3 linked regions of the Astyanax mexicanus genome follow. The protein of the gene in region 3 binds, or shares a complex with, the protein of the main gene of each other region. Links are inferred from orthologs where the notes say so. Each region holds a gene or a part of one and is shown on either strand. Other genes may lie near its edges.

The links. Proteins that work in one complex are often made in the same cells at the same time.
Region 1: pold2 (region 3) and pold1 share a complex: the UniProt entries of both Homo sapiens proteins name them as parts of the tetrameric DNA polymerase delta complex. The link is inferred for Astyanax mexicanus from reciprocal best matches to the Homo sapiens genes POLD2 and POLD1.
Region 2: pold2 (region 3) and DNA polymerase delta subunit 4-like share a complex: the UniProt entries of both Homo sapiens proteins name them as parts of the tetrameric DNA polymerase delta complex. The link is inferred for Astyanax mexicanus from reciprocal best matches to the Homo sapiens genes POLD2 and POLD4.

The regions. Positions count from the first base shown.
Region 1 is NC_064426.1:26,990,980-26,998,512, forward strand, and holds the start of pold1 (DNA polymerase delta catalytic subunit), read left to right. Parts: upstream 1-4,498; 5' UTR 4,499-4,659; intron 4,660-6,415; 5' UTR 6,416-6,424; coding exon 6,425-6,611; intron 6,612-7,445; coding exon 7,446-7,533. UniProt on the Homo sapiens protein: As the catalytic component of the trimeric (Pol-delta3 complex) and tetrameric DNA polymerase delta complexes (Pol-delta4 complex), plays a crucial role in high fidelity genome replication, including in lagging strand synthesis, and repair.
Region 2 is NC_064414.1:44,551,306-44,558,172, forward strand, and holds DNA polymerase delta subunit 4-like, read right to left. Parts: upstream 2,238-6,867; 5' UTR 2,103-2,237; intron 1,776-2,102; 5' UTR 1,774-1,775; coding exon 1,671-1,773; intron 1,531-1,670; coding exon 1,441-1,530; intron 845-1,440; coding exon 733-844; intron 633-732; coding exon 608-632; 3' UTR 536-607; downstream 1-535. Other genes in the region: ssrp1b (FACT complex subunit SSRP1), read left to right, coding at 3,953-4,006, 4,823-5,008, 5,103-5,208, 5,983-6,176, 6,821-6,867. UniProt on the Homo sapiens protein: As a component of the tetrameric DNA polymerase delta complex (Pol-delta4), plays a role in high fidelity genome replication and repair.
Region 3 is NC_064419.1:31,905,111-31,912,144, forward strand, and holds the start of pold2 (DNA polymerase delta subunit 2), read left to right. Parts: upstream 1-3,984; 5' UTR 3,985-4,158; intron 4,159-4,288; 5' UTR 4,289-4,297; coding exon 4,298-4,511; intron 4,512-6,460; coding exon 6,461-6,582; intron 6,583-6,888; coding exon 6,889-7,012; intron 7,013-7,034. Other genes in the region: sf3a1 (splicing factor 3A subunit 1), read left to right, coding at 1-28, 127-334, 451-611, 1,565-1,666, 1,868-1,939, 2,324-2,425. UniProt on the Homo sapiens protein: Accessory component of both the DNA polymerase delta complex and the DNA polymerase zeta complex.

The DNA.
Region 1 (7,533 bases), on a different chromosome or scaffold from region 3:
TCCATTTGTAATCTAGTTTATGAGGTAACACACTGAGTTACGGAACAAAACGCTGGAAAGTGTCAAAACGTGTTCATTTTTTAATGGTTTAGATGGTTTAATGATAACTGACTAATATGTCAAAGCTTTTCATACACGAAATGCACCCACAATTTTAAAATGGGCCACAAACACAAGTTCTCAGACCCTGGCCTCAACCTCATATAAGTTAATGGATTGAACCTTATCTAAAGGATGAAGGACACAGAAAGAACTGGGATTACAGCAAGAGGTGGTGGAGATTAAGTAACCGAGGAAGGAAGTAGAGTTTTGTGGCCACATCAAGCTAACACTTATTTCGAGTCAGAACATGAAATCATACATTGGTGGCTTTGGCCTACACACAAAGTCTTAAGGTATTAAAGACATTTTAAAAGATTTGTAACACCACCTTAATGTTTTTTTAAATCAGCACTGCTAATACTAATCCTAATCTCACTTTAAAACCAACCTAAATCTTAAACCTAACACTGCAGCCAATCTAAATAAACTGTTCTTGAGCAAAACAAGGGCTCTGCCTGAATTGCGTACAACCATTAATACAAAAATGTGTATTATATATAATAAAAGTAATAGTACAGGTTTAACAGGTAAATACACAAAATATTAACATTCACTCATCCTGATTCATACTCATATCAAGAGGATGTGATGAAGCAATGCTTTTCATTTACACATAATTCTCTTGCCACTGTAGCTGCCCAACATTTTTTCCCAAATTATACCTCCTCCCTTTTCGTTTCCACTGCATTAGGAAATAACAGTTTCCATTTAAACCATTTTATTCTCAAAAACTGAGTGGACCCATTTATGCATCATGGATTTCTGACAACACTCAATTTAAACTAAACAAACCTAATCAAAAGCAATTGGGACACCCAATGTAAATGTGACAGAGAATAAAGAGATACAGCAGAAATGAAGGTCAAATGGGGGTTAAATGGAGGTTAAGGCTGGAAAGAAAAGCCACATCACACGTCTTCCTACTGCCTAAAGAGTGCACTGTATAGCAAGGGTTTCAAGGGCCTTGTGCAGCACTTCGCTGAATACGCAATAGGTTTTCTCCATCCTAAGACTGGCAAACGTTTGTTTGTTTAGTTTCTGTGTCATTGTATTATTTACTATTAAGCATTAGTGATGCTTATTTTTTTTTAGTTTTGTATCATGTCAACCCCAGTTTTGTATTTGGATCTTATGTGGAAATCGAGATAAGTGATTAAACTAGCTTATAGGGTGTAATCTAGTGTGGGTGACATTTTTGGACTGCTTGACACAATTCAAATTTGTTCTCAAATAGTTATTTAATTAAAGAATGAATCAATAGAACAGAGTCAGGCAATGTGACAAGAAACACATTTATGTGGACAGTGAAAGAAAGAAGTATACAGAGAGAGACGTACAGAGAGAGAGACAAACTGATAGAGAAATAAACAGAGAGAGAGAGAGACATACACACAAAGAGAGAGGCATACAGACACATACAGAGAGAGAGACATACAGACAGACATACAGAGAGAGACATACAGACAGACATACAGAGAGAGAGAGACCTACAGACAGATATACAGAGAGAGAGAGACATACAGTACTTAAAGAGAGAGAGACATACAGAGAGACAGACATGCACAACCGACAGAGAGTGTCTCCAGGGTGAAACCCAAGGAAATTTAATTTTCATTACAGCCACGACCCGCCCCCTTCAGGGCACACATACACACCCCCTCTAACTCAGACTCTCACGGGCAGCACGCTGTTAAAGAACACGCGCCTATCCCACAGCTCCGCTTTACGCTCAAACACATTTCGCCCAAGACTGGAGCTTTACATGTTTAAATGTGGTTAGAATGTGGTTATAAACACGGTCCACGGTGGTTTGTAAGCGTGCGTGCGCGCGCACGCTCTGTCCCCGGTGTGGCGTACGTGCCTTCTTTCTCGCCGCGCTGAACGTCACACTGTGACCAGGACAACAGCAGCGCGCGCGCACAGCCTGCCCTCAGATTAATAACACTACACAGCGCTGCAGGTCAGTGCAGCTTTTCATTAAAACCACACACAGCTACATGTCTCCTGTGCAGAAACGCACTGCTTGCTCCTGCTCCTGCTCCTGCCCGACCCCCCTTTACCCACTACTTCCCTGGACATCAGCCACCAGGAAGGACGGGCAGTAAAGTGAGTTTTATTCTCACGAGCACCAATAACAGGATTCAGATTCTCACGCGACAGCGTGCGCGCGCGTCTTTCCGCGTGCACAGAACAGCAGACACGCTAATGCTCGTGAAAAAAAAAAAAACATAAATATATAAAAGAGACACAAGCTCACCCTGCGGCGGCGTCCTCGCCTGCGACGCTCTCGCATCTGCGCGAATCAATCACCAAACAGCACGACCTGACCGCGGAGGAGGAGCCCGACCAATCAGAGAGCGACTAGCCTCTGACGATCCACGTACGTGCAATGTGATTGGTTTACGCGGAGGGTCTTAAGCCATCTGATTGGCGGAGCATCGTGTCAATTAGGCGCTGACTGCTCGTGAGGAACGTGAGACTGTTTTTAATGCTGAACGATTTTATCCCCCGGCAGAGAAAAGGGCAGCACAGTTATTTTTACAGCACGCTGTAGCGGTCAGAGCAGAATATAGTGGTGACTACGACGTGAATAGATGTGAGGACATCACAGAAAATACACACACATGAACACAGAATGTACAATGTACAGTCTTAGTTCAGTGTCAAACATTTATTTTTATTTTATAAAATATACACATATTGGCAGTGTGGACAGTGTGCCAAGTCCTGCTGGAAAATGAAATCCGCATCTCCATAAAAGCTGTCAGTAGAGGGAATCATGAAGTGCTCTAAGACTTTGGGCTTGATATAACACGGTGAACCAACACCAGCAGATGATACGGCTCTGATTGTGGAAACTTCACACTTAGACCTCAAGCAATTTGGACCGTGATCCTCTCCACTCTTCCTCCAGGATCTGGTCCCTTGATTTCCAAATAAAATGCAAAATTTACTGATGGTCAGTGATGGTTTGGAGAGCCATGTCATCTGCTGGTGTTGGTCTACTGTGTTATATCAAGTCCAAAGTGTCCAACTGTAGAGTGATTTTCTAAACCAGACCACACACATTTCAATGCATGCATGTCTTTACGTGTTGTACAAAACACTAATAAACCTTCAACTGATCTATCCAGCCTGTCAGACACCATACACAAGCCATGTCCGTGTTAAATGATTACTACTGGTGGAATATGAGATGATTTTACTCAGTTCTGCAAATAAACGCGGACATTGTGTTACAGTCCCTGTCAGGGATTAGACCAGAGTTCCCCATCACAAGTCGGGCACGTGCACTGCAGAGGGTAGTGTTTTTACCCTAGCTCTGTGAGCATAGACTGTATATAAGATATGTATCCTGAGTCAGAATATATATTGATAACCTGTCAGCGCAAAACTGTAAAAAAACAGTACAATGGCTGAATTTTTTTCTTTTTTTTTTGTAAAAAAAAAATACATGTTTACATTGAAATTATTGAAGACCATTATCTATTATTATTATTGTACTCCTTTTCCTTAAGCAGCATATATTTGTAAGGTAAGTAAGAGTGTGGAGATTGCATAACTATACTATCCGAGATGCTGCGCTTGGTTGACTGATTGACTGATGAACTGATGAATTGATTGATGGATTGATGATTTATGAAGGTCACCCTCCCCCCATAACATTTCTAATGAATTGGATGCCATTTCCTGCATTCTGGTGTATTTTTAACAGGTTGTTAAACAACAAATTTTATCTACAAAAGAGGCGTAATTCAATTACTCTTTTAGAGTCAGACAGAAAAAAATATCATCTTTTAGGAAACTGATTCGAACGGCTTGAAAAAAGATTCAAACCTTTAAAAAAAACTGATTCAAACTGCTTGGAAAAGATTTTAACCTTTTAAAAAAACTGATTCAAACTGCTTGAAAAAAGATCCAAACCTTTTAGATAATTGATTCAAACTGCTTGGGAAAAAATGTGAACTTTTTAGAAAAATAATTTAAACTTCTTGAAAAAGATTCGAACCTTTTAGAAACCGATTCAAACTGCTTAAAAAATATTTTTACATTTTAGAAAACTAATTCGAACGGCTTAAAAAAGTTTTAAAACTATTCGAAAACTGATTCGAACTACTTAAAAAAGTTTAGAATATTTTAGAAAACTGATTCAAACTGCTTTAGAAAAAGTTTTGAATCTTTTGGAAAACTGATCCGAACTACTTTTTGAAAAAGTTTCGAACCTTTTAGAAAACTATTTGAACTATTATTTTAATCTACTTAAATAATTCGAACTATATGTATATAGTTCGATGCATTTGTGGATCAGCATGACAACAATACGTTTATACGTGTGATCGTAAAAGTACTTTTATTTTATAAGATGGTTTTTGTAACAGGGCAGCTTCCTGGGTTTGAGCCAATCACTGTCCGCGACCCCCTTCACGCAAATTTGCCGGGAAACGGAGATCGCGGCATGTATACGAGCAGAGAGAACAGTGGAGCGCGTGAATGTCAAAAAAGTGGCGGGAGATTCAGGCTGGGTCCGAGAGAGACAACACAGTATTGATCTGAAAAGTACGGGCTTCTATTTAACCTGCTAACCCTGTTTACTTACACGTCGGGTTGTTTAGCTACAGGTCTGCTAGTTAGTTAGCGTGCTAGCTGTGTGCAAACCGGTTTTGGTACAGTGTTAGTGTTAACACTGCTTTGCTAACTGACTTTTCTGTTTATATGGTGAAGCTAGTTGTTGCTGCTGCTGTTGTCTAGGTTGGAATTTGACTGTTCTGGCAGATCTTTTATAGTTTGGATATTAACTAGATTAGCTTAGCTATGAAGCTTAACTACGTGATGTACTCTAAAACGGTGTTGTATTGTTCTGTCTGTTTTTTAGTAGTTTTCTGCGGGTCAAGGAAACTTAGTAGTTAGTTAGCTAGCTAGCTTTAGCTCATGTTTGTTTGGCTCTAGCTAGCTTACCAACTTACCTATTTAATATATGGTTGATAACCTTGTACTTAGCTAGTTACTGTAACGTTAAAGTTGCTCCTCTGTTTGCGTCTTTCTGTTGTTTATTTTCCTGGATGTTTTACGTGCTATGTTGGGTAACAACACAACAATGGGGTGATAGATATTATTGCTTTCTCTTTGTATTAGCTAGTGACACTTCTGCTGTCTGACAAGCCACGTTAAGCACATGAACAGGGACTAAACTGCTCTTGCTTCAGCGTCTCTCTCTCTCTGGAAACACAGTTTCTTTTATAACTAATTTCATAAATTATAAATATAATTTACTCGCAGTAAAAGCTAATAATGCTGAGAATGAAAAATAGCGTAGGTTAGCTGGGTTATCAAACCGCTTTGGTAGATTTTTTTTTTTTTTTTTTTTAGAATAGACCAGTTTCCTTTGCCCAAGCCTAATTAGTACTTTTTGAAGCTATCCTCTAGATGCAAAACTTGGCAAAGTTTGGGCGCTATTAAATATTTTTTGTTTTTTAAATTTATTTCCCCCTTTTTGATTTGAGGTGTCTTCATATTTAAAAAAAATATTTCGGTTTTGGATTTCGTCTGTGTTCTTTACATCACAGAAACCACAGGACACCAAACATTGTATAAATATTAAAAGTAATTAAGGTGGTTGACAATAAAAAACACATCATATAAGTAGAGCTGGACTACATGTCGATATGTTATTGTATTGTGATAAATAGGTTTTTTTTATTGAAAATATGCCAAGGATATAGTTACTCCCTAAAGAAGCCTGACCCAACTGTACATTTTATTACAGAGAGTGTTGAAACTCCTATTAAATTGAATCATGTGCAGCAGATATTATATATAAATAACTTGACTGTTAATGAAAGAGTATTTAAATACTGTTTAGTACATTTTTTATAGAATCTGCCACAATAAATACATTGTTTTATAAGATATCTTTTAATACTGTTGTATAACATTTTCCATATTGCCTAATTCTCTCAGTACATGATTATGTACAGCAAGAGTGGTGGGTTTTATACTGTGCATATTAATATTGCAGTTATATCGTATTGACTGAAATTAAGACATGTTGTGATATAAATGTTCTCCATATCGTCCAATCCTACATATAGTTATACAAGTTATTTTTGCGTTTAAACATCCCCATATTAAAAGAAATATACGAATAAAAGTTTAATTTAGTTCAGTGACTTTGATTTAGTGTTTGAAATGATTTGTGCACTTTTACTTTTGCCCACCCACAACTGGGATATTCCACCGTCCATTAATGCATTGATCTTTGTTTAATTAGTACATTAACAGTGTTGACCCTTATATGTATGTGTGTTTACTGTAGGTGCTGAGGATGGATGGGAAAAAGCGCAATGGTGGGCCTACACTGGGTGGAGCCTCCCAGACTAAGAAAGGCCGAGTGGGTACAGATTGGGACGATGGACCTTCCCATTTTGAGGAGGAGCTTGCTTTATTTGATGAAATGGAGATGGATGCAGAGTCAGGGGAGGGACAGGCGGGTCATGATGTAATTCCAGTGGGTAAGTGGTACTGCCAGAGTTGGTCCCAAATTTGTATTGTTTCACAAAGCAGGATTTCTCAGTTATTTAATAACATGGGCCCAATCCCCTTTCTCATCTGTACCCCTACCCCTTGTTTTCGAGTGTCATCTTTCTATTTGAACTGAGTTACAAAAGGAAGTGGATGAAGTTCTCACTCTACAAAATGATTCAGCCCTGTTTGATTAAAGAAATGTACATTGCTTCATTATTAGGATATTAGGGATGCTCTGTAGACGACCCTGCAATTGGGTTCAGATTGATGAGTTATTTATTATTGTCCGTCCCTATTTTCTCTGTTATAGGAAGATAAAGTTACCTATTCACTAACTACTTATTTAAATTTTCCCAAACCACCTTAAATGCCAAAGTCCCAGTAAATGCTCCTCCACTATTGTAGGTGGAACAGGATTTTTTTTTGTTATCTTGCTTGTTATGAAGAAAAGGCCCATAATTTATTAAAAAATATAAGGTAAGATGCAATGGTTTTTATAATTTTTAACAAATATAAAGGTTTATTTGTGGGTTTCTTCAGTTCCTTTAGGTAAGAATGTACAAAACGGAAGGGTAGGACTAAGTGGTTGGGACAAGAGGTGAATTGGGATGTGCCAAAAAGTGCCAAAAATAGGACTGCCCATAGGAATGTATAACAACTCTTCTCTTATTGGACAGGCAATTCAGGTCCTGCTTTATATATATATATATATATAACCTCATCTTGTTTTGTGTTTGAGAAATGGTATTTTATGTTGGCTAATTATGTTAAACAATTTATTTTTTATTTTGCATTTTTTTCTTTTTTCTTTTTTGGCTCAGGTGACTTGTTCTCGGCTGATCTAAACCCTCGCTGGCGGCGTCCCACAGCTCCTACTATCAAACCTGACAAAGACACCCTCATCTTTCA
Region 2 (6,867 bases), on a different chromosome or scaffold from region 3:
TTTTCTTTGCTCTAATTTGTACACCATATTATTTAAAGCCTGTTCATGTTCAATTAGGGTTATATTAAACAAAAACAACACATTCTAACATATTCCAAAGTCTGCAGCGCCAAAACTCCACAGACCAATGCTGGAGCTTTATAACTTAAATTGCTGATGACTGGCTTTGGGCCTAGTGAGATTATTTTCAATATGCTGCTACTTCCATTATTAAAGCTGATACAAGCACTGTGATACAATCACCAACAGATGCATCCTAAATTAACAGATTTTGTACACAATAGTCTATCCTTTTCATTTCTTTGACACTTCATTCCCAATCGTAGAATAAACTATACAACCTGCCAGTTGCAATCAAGGCATTGTGTGTTAGCCTGTTTTGCTTACCTGCTGAGTTTGATAATGTAGCTCACTTCAAGACAGACAGTCCAGTTTAAGAAAGAAAATACCTTAAAAGTTGATGACAAAGGGATGCTTTTGTTAAAAGGGTTTTACTATAAACGTAGTGTAAAACATGGCAAGCTCACATGTTGGATCAATCATGATCATAAACAATCAACAATCATCCACTCTCACAATCTTCTTTTTTCTCTTCAGGCATCTTTCTTTACAATGGGTAATCCCGCCAGAGGCTGAAATACAGGACAGAACAAACAATTACATATGCACTTACAGACCTCCATGTATGTGTAATATTATTATTTTTGCTAAATATATTCATGCTCATAGTACCTATGTGTGTACTCTGGGTCCACGCTCTCCGTCAGCAGTATATCTTTAATCTCATGTGGGGGGTCCAGCCCATGCAGTGCTGCCCTCTCCCATCTTTGTAATCGGCTGATCCCTACATACACATTCACACATGCAAGAGAGGAAGTACATAGGTACATACCAAAATTCCAAATGACTTCTATCCTTCTGTGAAATTTGTTAAGAAGAAAAAAATAATCAATACTTTATTTACAATGTGCATATGTTTATCCACATTTAATAATTTAGCAGTGGTTCTGGAGGCACCCTCCTCTGTATATTTTTCGCTTTTCCTTATTCCAACACATGCTTTAACTACACTCTCATACACTCTCATATGCAAAGGCTGCATCATTAGTCATCATTTGCAAGACTGAAACTAGATTCCTTTTGAGATTTTACTCATGCTTCTTATTTTGGCCACATCTGAAGCAATATGTGCAAAAGTTTGAATAGAAAAAAATCTCTGACATTTGTTAAATGTGTATAAGCAAGGGAAACACTACAATTGTACAGCAGGGTGCATCCTAGATTAAAATTTCCCCCCAAATACCCAGTGTTTTCCAGCAGCCATTTTTTTAGTTTGAAAGGGGCATTTCTTTGTACCCATAATAATATTAACTTCCTGAGCACTAAGGATTTGTCAGTGTAATTAGAGAATTATAAACACTTCTGACTCTTTTGTATTACCTGTGCATGGCCCAAAACGCCAGTCCAGGTCAAACTTTCTCAGTTCCTGCAGATCAATTTCTCTTTTACTGGGGCGAGGAGGTTCTGGATCTGAGAGATCATCAAATGGTAATAACATAACAACAGAATAACAATTGCAAATCTTTCCATTCATCAACATAGTTTTGATACCAAACTATATAAAAACAACATGATTCTAACTTAAGCTGCACACTATCACACAGTCTCACCTGCAGCAGGTGGTGAAGGAGGTCTCTTGTTTCTTTTGTCATCTTTCCTCGCCTTCTTCACTACTTTAAATGTGTCAGTGATGAGACCTCGTTTGGCTGTCATGCCTGGGGGAAGGGAATCAATGGTGTCCGACAACACCCATCAAGAACCACACATTTAGGACCTATCACATGCATGTCCCATGTACTTTCATTTTCCCATTTGGCCAAAAACTCTGTCCAATATGATCTGATACCCCCAAATATCAGAATTTTATCCCAGTTAAAGTTAAAAAACACTGTCTACGTGTACATAATACTGAGCTGAGCTGTGCCCAGTCTCAGGTATTGTTTCCTGTGTCTTAAACTCAGACCGTGTTCACATATTTATAAACAGTATCTGTAGCTCTCGTGTTCATAAATGTTTTACAGTTCTGAAGCTACAGCACTCACCTGCAGCTCTGTGTATCCAGTGAACACTGTAACCACTGTAAACACCGCGGATCCTCAGTCAACGATAAGATTTCCTACCCGAACGTTTACAAAACAAGGGTAGGGGCGTGGCCAAGCACACTGCGTGATGACGTTTGTGGGGGGCTTATTTCGTACGTATGACGTACGCACTCATGTTGCTCTACTGCCTCGTTCGTTTCAGCATTGAACCGATTCATTTGAACCAAATTATTCAAACGATTCATAGTCTCACGTTAAATCATAACAATAAAAATGACAACAAAAACAACATTAAAAACCCTTTACCTCTCCTTAAATTTCTGTCATGTTATATTATTATTATTATTATTATTATTATTATCATTATTATTATTATTATTATTATTATTATTATTATTATTATTATTATTATTATTATTATGACATCTTTAATTTACTAAGTGAATTGGTTAATTATGAGATTTTATATCATAAGTCTATACGGTGGGTATCTACAATTTTTTTTATAATATTGAGTTGATTCTGTTATTCTATTAGTTTTTTACTACTACTACTACTACTACTACTACTACTACTAATAATAATAATAATAATAATAATAACAATAATAATAATAATAATAATAATAATAAATTATTTAGACCTTAGAGTTAGACACTAAAATACTACATTAATACATAAATTATGACATTTTATATAAATAATTTATAGAGTATCTCCTTTTTTATTCTGATATACTACTACACAGTTAATAATAATAACGACATAATAATTACTACATAAATATATGGAAGTATCTATTTTTATTTCAAGTGTTTAAGACTATCAGTCAAATATAAGGAAATATAAAAAAACATATTTTTTATTTATTTATCAAAACAAAGCTACAAAAAAGTAAATGGCTCGGATTTACTTGTTTTTTTAAATGACTCGATTCAAAAGAATCGTTCATTCACGAGTTGGACATCGCTAGCGGTTTCCTCTCAGTTCCAGAATTCTCCAATAAACAGTAAATGCTATTTAACAGCAGCTGCGCGGTTCAGCCCTCGCTGTGACTCAGGAGTGTGTGACCCTGTAGTGAGACGCTGTGTGCGGATATCAGATAAAAACGAGTCCTTTGCTTGTTGGAGGAATGCTAAGCTGCAGTCTATTTCAGGAGCAGCAGCTCACAGCTAGCTATCCAGCTATTAGCGAATATGTCTGCGTGTGTTTAGCTCGCTGGCTGGGCCGTGGCACTGTTTAAAACTGTTTAAAATAAAATTGTCAGATTTGCTGCTTAAAATGTTAGCTAATAGATTCATAGCAAAACAGTCAGACAGTGAGTTTGTTAGTTAGCTGTCTGTCTAACCAGGTGTTCTGCATGGCAGCTGTTCTGTTTCTCCATCAGCATCTTCATTTAGCATCATTTAGAGAACAAAAAGGTGCTGCTGAACTCCATCACTTTATTTAAGGGGAGCTCAGAATAGAGAAGAAGCAGAACTGAACTTCTGCACATTCCCCATAAGATATGTTTCACCTGTACCTTCACCCCCCCTTCAGGCTTCAGAGAGCAAAATCAGCTCATATAGATAATATATATCAATACCAGCCTGTCAAAGCACCTGTTCTGACACAGCATAAGATTTGAGCAGTTTTAATCCATTGATTCTGGATATGAAGAAGCATATATGCATATGTTTTAAACATAATTTCCAGGATTTTACCATCCCCAAATGCGGCAACACAGAAAAGTGCAGTGAGAAAATATTTGTGATAAAGGGAGAACAGATTTGTATGTGTATTGATTTCTCTTACTGTTTTTTTTTCTTTCACAGATTTGTATTGCTGGGACAAGGGAGGAAACTGCTGGCATGGCTGACAATCTGGAGTTTAATGATATTTATCAGGAAGTTAAGGGTTCTTGGGTGAGTATCTTCAAGTAGAGCACTTTACAGTATGTGATAAATTGAATGTCTGTTTTCTATATATGTAAAAATAATAAAAAAATAAAAGTAATGTGTAGAGATTGTTTTTAATAAAAACCCACTGTTTTATTATTGAGTGTAATCAATTAATTAATACACAAAGTCATTCAGAGTGTTTTGACGTGAAATGATGGACTGTATAAAACTTGCTGACACACATTTTTTACAGTAATCAAGGGTCAGTGTAAATATAGTAATTTATTTGCTATTCTACATAATCCATCTTCTGACTACTTATATGTAATTCTGATAATAGTAGTAAAAAGTAGTACATCAGAACTGTTTTCTCATTTGTCTGTCTTCGCATGAATCTCTCTTTAAAAATATTTAGCGTTTTGTCCAAAACAAAAACAATGTTGCAAGCAAAACGTATCATATATGAACAGTTCTTGAAAACACAAATATTTCTTAATTTGTTTGTGAAAAAAGTAAAAAAAAAACCTGTGGAATTCCCATTTGAATGTAAATACAAAACCATGCACTATATATCAACAGGCTTAAGCTATGCATAATGTGTTTTACACTTATCCTATTGAAAAATATATTTAAAAAAAACATTGCAGAAATTATTGTAGCCATGAAGATAAATTAAATTGTCACCATGTTTTGAAGACGTTGTCTCCACATCTTAGCCTGCTTCAAGTAAGATGTTGTTAGCATAAAAATGCAACATGCTTTTATAAAAATACATATGTATCATTCACATGTGCCAACAAATAATGCAGAAGATTAGCACAAGTTCCTGTATTTTTGCAGAACGATGGGCGTCTACGGTTCAGTAAGCAGACAGTGGTTTATAAAAACAGTAAGACGGGGAAGGTGGACAGTATCCCTGTCCCAGAGCTCACTCAGGCCCAGTGGAGGAGAGTCTGCCTGGGACACGGCATCAAGCTCTGCACCAGCACTGGACACGTCTATAAATATGACGGCTTTAAGGACACGGTGGGTGTAATGGCTGTTTATTTTGTGTGAATAAAATTCAAAACAATATTTATTTTAATTAAACATGTTTATTCTTTATTTTGTTTCTTTCAAGGACTTGGAAAAAATCTCAGAGTATTTTAAAGCCAATTATAAAGTGGAGCTGGCTGAGAAAGACATGTGTGTGAAAGGCTGGAACTGGGGAACTGCTAAATTCAATGGTTAGTATAAGTTCATAACATAAAGTTTTTTATGTCTAAATTAGTTTGGTTTAATGTGAGGGATTGTAAGTCATGGTACAGTGCTCTGTGAGGAAAGCTATTAGTTAAGTGGCTTGCGTGAATTTAAGTCTAGTCTAGAGGCTTTACTCGTCATTTCAACCATAAAATTCTACACAGTGGAGCGAAATAATATTCCTCCAGGAGCATGGTGCAACACCATGTGTGTGTGTGTGTGTGTGTTGAAGATAAGGTGGGGAGATTTAAAACATTTTATGAAATATAGATATTTTACAGTCAGCTTATAGAATATGATCACAGTAATTGCAGAGATAAAGAGGGTACAGTTTTTCTAATAAATACAGTACTCAGCAGTAGGTCTGTCACGATAATTACATTATTAACTTGAAATAAAATTGTGTTTAATTCTTGGTTTGTTCACATATATAACAGTGAACAGTATTTTAGCCAGTCATGTAATGATCAATGCTTTTCATGTAATGACCAATGCTCTCCAAACACACAGTGTGAACTTCAGTAGGTGAAGGGAAAAAATATTTTATTCCCTATAATATATTTTGTTAAGCCATTTGTTAATAATTTGTTTATCCATTCTGTAGTCATTATGTCAGTGGCATTTAAATATAAAATAATAAAATAATATCATTTATTGCAATCATTTCTGGACGATATATATCATACACATAAAAATGCTATTGTGACAGGCCTACTCAGCAGCATTACTAAAAAATAATTGTCCTCTGAATGTAATTCTAGGCCCACTGCTGTCATTTGAGGTGAGTGACAGCCCTGTGTTTGAGATTCCACTCTCCAGCGTTTCTCAGTGTGCAACTGGAAAAAATGAGGTCACACTCGAATTTCATCAGAATGATGACACAGAGGTGTCCCTCATGGAAGTGCGGTTTTATGTCCCGCCCACCACAGCAGATGAGGGAGCAGACCCTGTGGAGGTGAGAGAGAGCCTGTGTGTGTTTGTGTATGTGTGTGTGTGTGTGTGTGAGTGTGTTTTCTCTGTACAAAAAATCTGAGAATAAGTTTGATGATGTTTGTGCTAGGCATTATGACCTGAAAAATCATGATTAATTGATATTAGTTAAGATCAGAGTTAGGCTTATTTTTGCATATAAATGCACAAACTGGATGATGAGATCTTTTGTATGCATTGTTTTACTGTGACCACTAAGAGGAGCCCTTTTCAAATAAACAAGATCTACATTGGGCTGAGGACAAAAAAGAGACAAAATATACTTATTATTATCATTATTATCATATACCAAAAAACTACAAGAAATATTAAAATATAGAACATAGTATTTCTTTGTGATCCAGCTGAAGGGAGTGGTTAGGGTCACATCAAATGTTCTAAGAGCTGCACTTTGGGCAGTTTTGATCCAAAGAAAGTCTAAATGAGAATGTGAATGAAATCAGAGGTAGCGCCTCTCTCAGTCTGGACTGTCTTTTTTTAAAGCATAAAGTACAGGTTTCATTTTAAACACCTCTTCCACTAAGATCAATTACAGGCAGTTATGAGGATCCTAATTCTATAACACTCTTAAGCAAATAGACTAAACGGTTTAATGTGATTCTCTTACAGGCGTTTGCTCAGAATGTTCTTTCTAAGGCAGACGTGATCCAGGCCAC
Region 3 (7,034 bases):
CAGCACCATGCCTAAGCCCCCACCTGTGGTCAGTGCGCCTTCTGGAGTTTAAAAAGGTGATATAAATCATATAATATGAATAGGATTTAACTGTTATTTTTTGTGTTTGTTTGTTCTGGTTTACAGGTTCCACCCCCAGTCCGGACCACTCTGCTGTCTGCTGTGCCCGTTATTCCACGGCCCCCGATGGCTCCTGTGGTGCGTTTGGCCCCTGGGCAGGTGCTGACCCCCATGCCACCCATGGTACACGCGCCACGCATCAATGTGGTGCCCATGCCTCCCACAGCTCCACACATCATGGCTCCAAGACCTCCACCTATGGTGGTCCCTGCAGGTAAGAGGACAGTGTTAACATCTGTTGCTTCGGTCAGCAATTATTACAGGAACAGTTAAGAGGCCAAGATGCTTCTTGAAGAATAGATACTGAAGGTCTTTTGTTTCTCCCTCTAGCATTTGTTCCAGCCCCTCCAGTGCCACAGCCTCCCAGTGCAGCTCCAGCCCCAATGCCACCTGCTCACCCTCCACCTCCCCACGAGGACGAGCCAGTCAACAAGAAGATGAAGACAGAGGACAACCTGATACCCGAAGAGGAATTCCTGCGCAGAAACAAGGTGCTGTGTGTACTAGTAGGATATACAGTGCTTTTTATCAGTTTGTAAACCCTTTAGAATATAAATATGACCTAAAACATTATCAGATTATATTACTAGCAGTACATAAAGAGAACCTAGTTAAACAAATGAGATTTTTTGTTTATATTTTACTTTGTCATTTATTTATTAAGCAAAATGATCCAATATTACATATTTGTGAATGACAAAATGATGTGAACTTTTCATTTAAAAATTATATTGGATGTTTTCAGTCAAGTCACAGTCCTGACCATAATTCAGTCAAAATGTTGTGGAAGGTGCTGATTTCCTAAAAGTATATTAAGAGAATCTAGTTAAACAAATGAGACAAAAATATTATACTTGGCAATTTATTTATTGTGAAAAATAATACAATATTAATAGAGATTGACCAATCAATGTTTTTGGGGCCAATTTTGATCACCAAGCTTGACTGGAGACAAATGCCACAGAGATGCGAGGCAAACATGGTACTGATTCTCCTAATTATGGTCACCACATTTTTTGCCACTCACAACTATGTAATAGTGTATAATTTTCAATAAATAAATGAGCAAGTCAAATATTTTTGAAGTTTTAGGCCATATTTATGCAAAAATATAGAAAATTGGAAAGGGTTCACAAACTTCCAAGCACCGCTGTGCACACACAGGAGTACTGCAGGGCTGTAAACTGTGACCAGGGTATCTTATCTTATATATATTAAGAAACTTTCACATTTATTTTTTAGTGCACTGCACACAATGTTGTTTTTAACATTGGGGTTTAAGAAGGTTCATTGTAATAAAAATTAAAGTTTCATTATTAAATTATTGTGACTAGCTCACTTTTTATGTAGACTTTGTGTATGTCATGACAACAGGGATGAAAAAGTGGGTGTTGTGATACATTCTTTGAGTTTCTCACTAATTGTAAGATTTTATGCCTTTCAGGGTCCCGTGGCAGTCAAAGTTCAGGTACCCAACATGCAGGACAAGACCGAATGGAAGCTGAATGGACAAGTGCTCAACTTCACCATGCCTCTAACAGACCAGGTAAAGAGGCCCGCCAACAGTGCACTGACTAATCATTTAACACAGAGGATATATTTCTCTCTTTTTGAATTGATTATTAACCTTAAACATGTTTAAATAATAAAGTTAGTATTTATTCTTTTATTTTTTTTTTTATGTGTTTAAATAAAATCATTCTCTTCACATTGTTCCTATTCACAAGTATTTCTCTTTTTTTTTTAGGTGTCTGTTATCAAGGTTAAGATCCATGAAGCCACTGGAATGCCTGCAGGCAAACAGAAACTTCAATATGAGGTAAATTATAACAATTTTCAAAAAACGCAGATCACTTCTTAATCCATACAAGGGAATTCGGCTGCACAAAACAGTTTGCCAACCAGTACACACTTTTTATATTACATTTCCATATATCGAGTGGATTTCTGAGCTAAAAATAAGCTGGGAAAAGATTGTATACGAATAAAAATAAGTTATGACTCATTTTTTCCTAAAATCATACAAAATTACAAGTATGCATCAATCAGTAATTCAGTCCCCAGAGGAGAAAATAAAACAGCCCTTTAATCTATTTTATTTTACTGTGCTTGCATGACCTGTGTGACTATCAAAAAATTATCATTATTTATTAAACATAATTAAATTCTCTCTGCTAATTGAAACTGTATCTTTCGTCTGCAGGGTATTTTCATCAAGGACTCAAACTCTCTGGCTTACTACAACATGAACAACGGCTCTGTTATTCATCTCGCCCTCAAGGAGAGAGGAGGAAGGAAGAAGTAGTTTATACTCTCGAAACTCCTCCTACTGCTCAGCTCTATTACCATCCCTGTTTAGAAGATTCATATGTAGAAATTGCTGCAGTTTTTGCTTGGTAGTTTATACTGTTATCAACAAGCTGGATTCCTTGGAACTGTCACACTCTTGTATGAAATGTCTATAGTGTTAGGCATTTATCTTGTGTAGTTAAGTATGTTTTACTGTTTTGGCTGATACTAGGCTTATGTTTCACCTTTCAGATCTAAAACACTGCTTTTGTGAGATTCTGAAATGAAAAAAATGAAAATGTTATTACAAAGCAGAATCAAATAAATTTAAGGAAAAACCTTAAATAATGTGTTTTTTTTGGCATTAAACCTCTAGCTATTGCATCAGAAAACGAAGCATTTGTCATTTATATGTACAGGAAAACACAATTGTCTTAGTCCAGTTTGACAAGGCTGAGGTGAGATGTGCTACAGCGCCCCCTGGAGTGGAATAAGGGAATTTGTTCATAGGAAACCAACAACACTAAATAATCCAGAGCTCTTACTGAGCCACCACTACTGCATATGTCTGGTATCAGATATTAAATATTTGCTGAATGAAACGTGATATTTAAATGGTAGTAATACACCAAATAAACTCTTTTGCAGAGTGTAATAACTTTTCCACTTTTTTCACCATTGCAATAAATTAAATACTCTAAATATATTTGTTAATTTTACTTAGAAAAAATTACTGCAATTTTAAATTTATGTTGAGTACTGAATATTTTTTACATCCAGGCAGACACACCAACAAAGCTAAATATAACCTAAAATAAGAAGGGCATTAATTTTTTATTTTTCCGTTTAGCATTTTTATCCAAATCATTTTTTTAAATTAAAGTGGAAAAAGTCAAGTTTTAGATGCATGCAATTATAGACAATTTATTTGAACAGTATTAAATTTATTGAGGACATATGTATGCTATGTTATACATTGCAAGGTCCTTATTTATCGGTCAGCATTGCATTTTTGAGTATGTAAGTGTAAACAAACAAGCAAATAAATAAAAAAAATGATGTCGCTTGACAACATTTATGTAAGCATGTTTATTCCATATACAATGCACGTTTGTTTTACTCATATCTAAGCAATAACACGAATATAAGTTAAATAATTATTAATACATTTAATACAAAAATAAAATCAGACACATGTTTTCTGCCCCCTGATGGATTATCTGTTGCAAAAACAGATAAAGGTGTGTTTAAAGTGGAGCACATACCTGCTTTTGCGAAAGAAAACTTCAAATTCTAATGTATCAAGTATGATCCATAAAAGTCCTGCATGTGAAGCGTTATTTGTTTTCTTTCTGTATTAATATTTTATTATATACGGTTTAAAAACAAAAGAATTTTAGCAAATATTTTGTGGTTGTGTCTTTAAAGAGCTAAGTCCTTTTCTCAATATATTTTTATATATCAGAAGGTTGAATTTCTAAGAATATATTATAAGAATGGGCGAAAATCGTTTCTTTTTTTCCTTTTCGTGACTTTTATTATGAAGGCAGCGCTTTGTAGTAATGTTGTCACATCCTGAGGCGGTGCGATATTTAGCGGGAGATCCTGAAGTTGCCGTGTGTTTGTGTTTCTCTGTTTGTTTATGTTTATTTATTAATTTATAGCTGTGTGTGTGTCCTATAAACTGTCAGCACTTTTACAGTAAAGGACCTAACCCACTGTACAAGAGAGTCCTGAACCCCGAAACCGGTAAGAATGAGGGTTAGAGAGCGAGCTCGTGTACTCACTGTGTATCTGAAGGCTCTGGGTTTAGGTGTGTGTGGGTCTGAAGGCTCTGGGTTTGTTTGTTTATTGTGTATATATTATTTCCTCTCCGCAGTTTTCGGTCATGTTCTCGGATATTACGGAGCAGAAGGAGACCCTGCTGGCTCCTCCAGGAACGGAGAGGCCGGTGTTCTCCCGGGATGAGCGCACGTACAGCGGCTGCAGTGAGGGCTTCGGGCTGGGGGAGCGCAGCTTCCAGCGGCAGTACGCGCACATGTACGCCGCCAGACTGATGCAGATGCGCGGCATCCTGAAGGACAGAGCCGAGCAGAAGTGGGGTGAGAATTCTGGGTGTACTGGTTACAGTGGGGCAGCGCTTTGGAAATACAGAAGAATCTGTAAATACCTTATGATGGATTCTAGGAGCCAAAGCACCTATAAACTAATATCGAATACAATATAATTATTACAGATTACCCAAGTCTCCCGGAAGTTGCGGGAGTCTACAATTGATATCATATCCATAACGGCTCCCTGATGCCCGCAAGTCAGATAAAATCTCCCGGAATCTAGAACGAGTGGCCCAAGAGTGAACACATAAAGTGCATGCAAAACAGAGAGTGTTCTGATTGGCCTGTTCTTTGCAAAGAGTCTCTGGGTCAGCCAGTCAGTTTTTAGTGTGGGCGGGCAGTGTTTTTTTTTTTTTTTCCTCCTGGACGGGATGCGTTCAGGAGCATCGTGGCTCCCATCAAAACTCATTTTACCTCTGACTACTTTAAAGCATATCCATGTCTGGTAAAAACAGTGAAAGTCTTGCCCGCTGTACAGTTTGTAATAGTAATTTTAGTGTTGACCATGAGGACTAAATGATTGCAAAAGGCATGTTGAGGTAAGTTAAATGTGACCATATATAAAAGTTCTATGATCCTTTGGTATGCTTTGTGAGTGCGCTAGTTCTTGTTTTTGTTTTTTTGTTTTGTTTGTGGGGTGGTTGGGGGGAAGTTCGGGTCTGGGGTACCTCACTGAAATTAATTGTTGCAACTTGGGATGTCTGATCATTTATTATTGTTATTATTATTAATTTATTATTACTTTTAGTATTATTAACAAGGTTAAAACAATGATGACGTTACAAAACCTGAGCAACTACCTGGGACACCAGGTTTACATTAAAGTTTATATGAACTCTAACTATGAATTTTCTACCTACTTCCACTGCTGCTGGGGCTATTCAGCTAATTATATTAGACATATGTGGAAGTCTAATGCTTTTTAACACTGATTGATTGATTTATAAGTTATCTGACCAGGAGAGGCTGGGTTCCCTTCTATATTAGCCATGATAATACTTTCTTGCTAGCTAGTAAGCAATGAGGCTAATCCAGCAAGCTACCTCTATAAAGCCATACTCCACTTTTATCCACACTTTATTTTTCTCCAAATAATGGACACAGCATCGCTCTGCTGAAGACTCTCAGCCGCTCTCCCTAATCCACACTACACTATTATCACTGTTTCCCTCCCAGAAATACAGGAAACTATCCCCATTTTAAAGAATAAATCATGATTTTGAATATTGTGGTGATTTTATTTTTAAATACCACTGATACTAATATAATTATTTTATCCAATCTAACAGAAATTATTATTATTATTATTATTTTTTTTTTACATTTAAATACCCTTAAATAAATTCTTCTTTAAAAAGTCACATGGTTTACACACATGCAGTTGATATTTTGATATACATTTGATATTTGCACTGGTGAGTTTTTAATGTTTTTGTTTGTTTCAAGTAAAATGTACTCAAGGAAAAGTGGCTTAAATATATGGTGTCCATTAATATATTAGTGCAGTTAATATTTAAGAAGCACAGGCTAGTACAATATGTCTTCTACAAAGCCTTTTTTGAATCATGCAAGATAACGCTTGTGGACTGGAAAGTCAGCCTGGATTGGCATGTATATACCTTTTTATAATATTTATTTTCTGTCCTTAATTAATCCTGAGTTAAATGATCTGTATTGGAATGATGTTAGTTTTACTTAGCTCTGAGATTTTTGTGTATTACCGTGCATATTCCATGTTTATATCTGGATTTTGTTTTTATTCCTCAGTACCGAGACTCAGTCTGTGTCCCATGCATTGCGAAATTATGGAGCCCAACAACAAAGGAAAAAATGAAACAGGAAGATGTCTGCCTGCTGCTGTGTTTGGCTAGTGATGCTGATGTCTTTCCTGGGTAATCAGGTTCCTGTTATTAACTCGATGTTTCATGTTTTTTCAGGTACTGACATACCAATCAAGAAGCTCTGTGATCTGCAGATGGGTGAACAGTGTGTGATCGTGGGCACCATATTCAAGCACATGGAGCTGCAGCCGTCCATACTGAAGGAGATCAGCGAGGAGGTAGTCCAGAAAATAAACCAACCCATCAATCATCATTGGATGTCTCAAAAACAGCACTTTTGCTGCAAAAAGAAATGGGAATCTATTTAAAAAGATATCACAAATTTTGGAGCATTTGTATTGGCCAAGCCTTGAACTTAAACTGCCAGATTTATGTCAAAAATGTTTTTTGTAGATAACCTTCTTTGGGGGTTGGAATGCTGTTAATGTAAACTTTTATGTTCTGTTTGTGATCATTTGGAATATTTCTTTTCTTTACTTTTTTTTTTTAACTTTCTTCTTTATCATTTCTTTTGATTACCTCAGCACAACCTGCTGCCCCAGCCGCCTCGTGCCAAATACATCAGCCAGTCAGACGAGCTGATTCTAGAGGATGAGCTGCAGAGGATCAAACTGGAGGGCAAAATCGAAACAGCCAAGTTTGTTACTGGTAAAAATGAGGGGTTTTTTGT